2 linked regions of the Drosophila melanogaster genome follow. The protein of the gene in region 1 interacts with the protein of each later gene in a pairwise test. Each region holds a gene or a part of one and is shown on either strand. Other genes may lie near its edges.

The links.
Region 2: the proteins of CG18666 (region 1) and PpD5 interact in a two-hybrid assay, tested with the Drosophila melanogaster proteins (2 studies listed by BioGRID).

Annotation. Positions count from the first base shown.
Region 1 is NT_033779.5:11,032,870-11,036,131, reverse strand, and holds CG18666 (uncharacterized protein), read right to left. Parts: upstream 1,338-3,262; 5' UTR 1,281-1,337; coding exon 897-1,280; 3' UTR 824-896; downstream 1-823. Other genes in the region: Samuel (SAM-motif ubiquitously expressed punctatedly localized protein), read left to right, coding at 1-616.
Region 2 is NT_033778.4:22,040,986-22,044,702, forward strand, and holds PpD5 (protein phosphatase D5), read right to left. Parts: upstream 1,961-3,717; 5' UTR 1,869-1,960; coding exon 828-1,868; 3' UTR 682-827; downstream 1-681.

The sequences.
Region 1 (3,262 bases):
AGCATCTCGAGCGGTTGGCCAGCGATCTGCGGCAGCTGGGCAAGAAGGGCAGGAGGAGTCGATCGGTTAGTCCCTGTAGTAGATATCCCGCCGTTGCGGAAACGGCCAGAATGCTTAGCGAACGATCGCTGCTGCTCAGCGGATATGGAGCCATTGAGAGCAGTGCCAAGAAGCTGAGCGAAGCGGCGACCGGTGGTGCGGGTGGTGGTGGTGGTGGTGCGGCCGGTCAGGCTGCCACGCCCACTACCAGCCAACTAAGTGCACCCGCCTCCTCAGCATCCTCCTCATCCATGTCGTCCTCCTCTGCCGGCAGCACTTGCACCACCAATGCAAATACGGCATCGGTGGCAGCCGCCTATGCTGCTTTCTATTTGGAGAAGGTCAAGCATGAGAAGATGGACAATCATAAGGATGCACCGATGGTCACCATACACAATAACAACAACAACAACACCATCAACAACAACAACAGCAGTAGCAGCAGCAGCAGCAGCATCATCAACAACCATCAATCGAGTCAACCAAGTCTGGGCCACAGCGTCAAGAGGGAGCGGCTGAGTCCAGGGAGCAATAGCAGTAGCCACAACGGCGAACTCACCGTCAGCTCATTTGCCAGGTGAGTGGAAGTGGAAGTGGAAGTTCGGGGGTACACTCCGGAGAGACATGGCTTTATTGAATCATTGATTCATTGCATCACTGATTCGTGATATAGCCGTGACCCATGTGATCTGTTCGAATGATTCATTAGAGCAGCGCTCAACCGATCACATAACAAATTGGTTTGTCCACTCATATTGATTATAGGGAAAGATTTGGTAAAAGTACTTTATGCTAATTTAATTGAAAGGTAGTTTCGGTAGTTTTAATTAAAAATTAAAAAAAAATGAAACCAATCTCTATTCCGGCTTGCAATTGGCTTCACACTTTGGGTGATTCTCCGTGTGATCTTCATCCTCCGTATCCGCCATGTTGCATTGCTCGCTATGGCTGACGTAGTTGTAGTGCTCACGCCGCAACTCGAGAAACCTCATTCTTCGCCGGAGTCGCTCCTCCGGAGTTTCCTCGGTCACGACGAGGGTCTCGCTACTTGGCAACGCAATGACAACCGAGGGGGCACTTGAAATATCAGGACGGGGAGCGTTGGGGTGTCGCAGAATCGAGGGGGATGCACTGATGGTAGGATCGGAATACTGATCTCGAACTGCTCTCTGGTTGGCATCGTCGTCACTGGAATCATCATCCAACTGTTCCGGTTTATCTTTCTTATCCTTGTCAGACATATTCTAGAGACTTACATGGAATCGCTATTAAAATACGTAAATTTCTGAGCCATGTTGATTTGGAAAAGTAAAGAGAGATATCATTTCCCATTCGAACTTGCCACTATTTTGGACTATTTATCAAGCGAATTCAACGCCTGTCGACGCCTGACAAATTAATTAACATTTTAATAAATTAATACCTCGAAGAGAAACCAAACCGATGCGGCTTCTGTTCGCAGCCAATGGTAAATTAATCAAAACCACGAAACAAAAAAGCGGCCAACACGAATGTGTCTACACAAGAGCACGCTTTTGCTGTCAAAAAGAGGCAATAACAAAGAACCCGCCAAGAAAAGAAAAAGAAAAACAACTTGAAAAACTTGAATTTAAAAACAAATAAGACGAAAAAAAAAAATATAATAAGGCCCAGACGGCGACTAAATGTGATTTGACAAGCGAAATCAGCAGCAATTAATACGCGCAACTAAATTAATGGTGTTAAAGATTATATATTAACTAATATAAATAAAGCCAATTTATCTTCCGAGCGCAAAAAAAAAAAAAGAGAAGAAAAAAACCAAAACGAAATACCTTAACAAGCCTTAGGCCTTAGCAGAAAGATACAAAGATACATAGATACAAAGATACTAGTTGGGCCATATGATTTGGGCGAACGGCTGACCATATTAATATTAATGAGACATTCTAGACTATCGGCACCTGGGGTGTGGAAATTGAGTGGTGCGACCACGACAGATTCGGATTTACGTATAGTCGATTCGCATCTGGCCGTGGGTTCACTCAATTCGTCGGGGTGGTCGTCTGAAGAGAGATTGGATAAGCCGCATCATTTTCATAATTTATAATTGTTTATACTCAAATTAGAGTGGCTTATTAAGCCAGCCTTAATGCGATATGACAAATGAATGTTTAAGGGTCGGACAAATAACTGGTTTGAAGACTGTGTTTATATCATAAATACATTATGCGATTTTGGACTTTTGAAGAATTAATGTAAATTCGATGCGAATTCTTCTCACCTGTCGAATATAACTGATAAAATGTATCCCCTGACGAAATCACGAATGTTAAATAAATATAGTTATACACATAACTTGATTTTGCTACGTGACCATTGACAGAAATACGATGTCTGTCTGCTTCATTCAGTTTGTATTTTTTTTTTTTTGTTTTTATTTATAAACTTAATTTGCATATTTAATACATGTTCTTAATAGTATTGGAAGTTTTAAAAGATTTGGCTAGACTTTTTCCCTAGGCTTGGTCCAATGGCTTTTTAAGTTCTTTTGTTTTTTTTTTCACGTCAACCAATACTCTTTGGACATATGCGAAATCTTGTATCTTTTACAGATGCATACAGCGCGTTTCAAAACCATAAATGTTCTTTTGGAAATAAAAATGGTATTACTTTTTAAAATCTAATTAATATATTAGTTTAAAAAGTGCCTTACATATGCGTGGTTTTGACCTTAAGGTATTAATACCAAGTGGGTCTAGTTTCTATCGATGAAATTTTTGCTAAGAGCGCTTTGTCAGTTTCGAACCGCACCGTATTCACATACATTTATTTTTATTAGGGACTTTTTGGGTCTTGTGTAGGCGTAACAATAGACACCATTTGCATACCGAGGCGGGCACATGTTGCCGGTTGTATAATAAAAACCAATTAGGCATGCCACCGATCTAAAGATCTTAGACAACCAGAGCACCCAAACCGTTAGACACACATCGAGATTGGGTGAAGTCGGAACTGGGAGGGCGATCGGTGGCAGTAGCCAACATAATCGCCACCATAAACCATTTTTGCAATGCTTTTTTGCTTCCACTACTTTTTTTTTTGGGTTGATCTGGTTGCTGTTCAAACAATTGCCAAGAACAAGCAACAAAACACAACTAAGTAGCTGCTACCAATCGCCAAAGCAATTTGCAATAATCAACATTTTTAACAAAACCGAAAAAAAATTACTAAAAAAGATACA
Region 2 (3,717 bases), on another chromosome or scaffold:
TTTAAATGGGATAGAATGGTTCGATAAATATGTACAACAAATTACAAATTAATTACAATTCAAAATGGCCGCAGGCAGCCGCAATTATGTGATTTATGCGCCGGCTGTGCATCAGAAATCACGCATACGCCTCGTATGCCACCCTCATTTTGCCAATGCCTTTGGCCATTGCAATTGAACACATAATAAATAAAGTTGCTTGTTTTTCTACACACACACAAACGCACCCACACTCGGATGTTATTTGTGTTTTCCCAGATTATTAAAGTTATTTTCTTTGGCCGCCCCGCCCGCAGTTTCACCTGCTGGCACTTTTCCTTGCCTTGGAACCTTTTGTTTATGTTTACACACATGAATGTATAAATTACGATGCCAGGTTTTTGTAAACAAAACGAGTTTTGCCTGCGGGCCGACAGAACGGAGACCCCGCCTCCGGGCCACCGGCTTCTCCCGTTGGCCACATTTAAATATTTGCGCACGGAATTATTTTCCCTGGCATAAAGTGTGGCCAGGTAGACGTTTTACAAAGTCAAACAAAAGCTACCACCTCCACCTCATTCGCCTGCCGAGCTGTTAACCTCTGACCCCGCCTCATGTATTCCCCCTTGTCAGAACGATTTGTGTCCCCATTTTCATCCCGCCGTCTTTACCCCACCCACTCGGTCATTGGGAATTTTAATTAAATTTAAATGAAGATTTATTACACTTTTCTTTGGGGTCTGCCCGACCTTCAATTGTCCTTCGATTAAGCCGCAATTGAAAGCAAAATAATCGATTCAAAAACAAGAGCAATAAAATATAAAATATAAAATATTGAACGAACAAACCTAATAAAGCCTCTTCTCCCTCATGGACGGCGGTGGTCCATTGGTCGCCGTAGCTGTAGATCCACTATCCGACTCAAAGCCCGTGGGTCGCGAAAACGGTCTCGGACGGATGATGACAAAGTGGCAGACCAGTTTGGCGTCCACCACCAGAACAGCTCCGCAGTTATCAAAGATGTCGCAGTAGTTCGGGGCCGAGAAAATGGTGACCAACTGGCGGTCGGCGAAGAACTCGTAGCCATCCTCGACCACTTGGTGGGCGCGGACAATCAGGTTAAACTTGTGCTGCATGAGGAAGCCCTCCACTATGTTGGCTCCAAAGGTGAAGCTGACACCTCGATCGTTGGACGCCCACGTTCCGGTGGTCTCATCCGGATCCGACCAAAGCAAATCGCACAGCAGCCCATCGCTGGGCACATCGGTGGGGCGATTCAGCCGCCGGATGTCATCCAGGTTATTCAGATCCGGACTCAGTCCGCCGTGGACGCAAAAGATGCGATCGGCTATGATGGCGGCCACTGGCATGCAGTCATAGCAATCGACAAAGGAGCGCCACAACTTGATGCTATATCGTCGCTTGCACTCGTCGAAAAACCCATATACCCGATTCAAATCCGCCGATTCATGATTGCCGCGCAGCAGGAAGAAAGTCTCCGGATAGCGAAGCTTATAGGTCAACAGCAGCGATAAAGTCTCGATGGAGCAGTGACCCCGATCCACGTAATCCCCAAGGAATAGGTAGTTTGAAAGCGGTGGCACACCGCACTGCTGGAATATCCTCAATAGATCCTTGAACTGACCGTGCAGATCCCCGCAGATCTTTACCGGAGCACTCAGTTCGAGGAGCATCGGCTGGGATAGAAACAGCTCTCGGCTCGCCTGGCATATATATGTGATGGTGGCCTCGGATAGATTTCCGGCCCTCCGGTTTCCAACCGCCATCGTCTTCAGTTGACCGATAATAACGTCCAATTGGGACATTCGATTCTTTTCCTCCTTGGAGCTCTCCTTACCAGTTGATAAAACGGTCGAACGACGAGACATCGTTTTCTTATTTCTGAATTACGGATGGAGTGTTACAGTTTTCGTCTGGTAACTTTTCTTACCGAAAGGAAACACAAAGCAAATGGTACAACGTTATCAAAGCCTTCCCATCCTTTTGTAGCTTAGGCAAAATATATTCGAAAGTCAAAAACAACACTTCGTGTAGTTTTTTCTTAAAGCTTAAGTTGTTAACTGGAATTGGTATAAAACTGCACTTTAAAACTTAGTTGTTTCGCGTGAGTTTTTCACTCCGTTTACTTTAACATTTTGTTTCTCTGGCCGATAATCCGAATCCTCTCCAATTCACTTTGGCACTATCTTTTGCACCTCGACCGTTTCAATTATCAGACACTTGGCATAAATTTGGCAAAAACAAAAAGACGGAAAACATTAAAATGTTCGCTTTCGATAACAAAGCAAAAGCGCCGCAAAGTTGCTTGTTTACTCGCAGTTGACCCTTGAACCGCGTGGGCGAAGCCACCCACTCCCCCTTTGGCCACGAATCAAGGACCCAGCTGCATTTTGGCTACTCGTAATCCCGATTCACAGGGCTTCCTGCACTTGTAATGCGGCTTAAAGGAGTGAACGGGAGCGAGGAGCTTTTTGATAGCATTTCGGGCCATCTAGGGTTTTAAGTTCCCGCTCGAAAAAATCCTTTATTTCCCAGCCCAACGCTTTCCTGCAGTTCTCGGAGCGCATTTTGAATACATTTTTGAATCAGTGTCGACACTGTTTGCTTTTTATGTCACTCTCTTTTTTTGGACCCAACTCTCAGATCTCAGTTCGGACCCAGCTCCTTGTGTCCCACATCGCGCCCTTTTTGGATTTTATGCGATTTGTGTACTTCCGGCTGTAGTGGCTCCACCCGGGACTCATGTGTGTTTTACCACTCGGGCAACCTAAAAACCACTGGCAACTTTGAAGCCCACCGACCCATTTGTCCCGCCCAGAATGTATTTAATTGCAAGCGGCGCTCAAATAGGATTTGTGCATTGTTTTCTGTGGTGGATTTAATGCATGGCCCGGGGAAAAACCCATTTCCTCGCCCACTCCCGGGTTTGTTTGCATTTTTTCCTCAGCCACCATTCGGAATCTATTTTAATGTCAGTTTAATTCAATGCCCCAGCGGTTCTCTAATGCGCTGCGGGAGCTTTGAAGGGTTCCCTTGTGCGGCAAATGTAATTAAATTGTGGCCAAAGTGGGATAATCCCCATCGTTCTTTTCGATATGGGTACTTAGGGCATATATGGGACTATGTGATATGGTTTTAGAAGCAGCATTGCGGTTTAAAATCACACAATGAAATGCGAAGAATGCAATCAACGCAATTTCACGTGTTACTTGATTTGATGCGACCTAGTTTATAGAAAGTAAGCTATTATTTAAGTGGAAAACCCTCTTTTCGTTTCCATCTAAATACCAATTTTAAGGAATTTCAACTCAATCGCCTCACTGGGGACTCAAAGTCGAACAGCTTTCAACCGTCTCTCGAAATCTGAAGCAGTCAAAGGCGCTTGGCTTATTTCCGTTTCCGCTTGCTGCCATATTTTCCGAACCCCTCCGCAAAGCAGCTCCCCCTTTTTACCGCAGCAATGCAATTTTCGACTCGCAAAAAAGAAGAAAAGCAAAATCGCACGCTTGAATTTGGATTTGAAAAGGTTGAAATGCTGGGTGGAGTGCAAAAGGGTGTGTGTGTGTGGTTAGGTCAGCAGAACTGCTTCTCAGCTGCTGTTGTCGCTGCCTTTGTTGCGGCCATCCCATTGTGTCGCCGGAAATATTCAATTTTCAATTTTCATTTCGCTGGCCAGCAAAAATTGGCAAGCGAAAACAAAGGACGTGAACAGAGAGC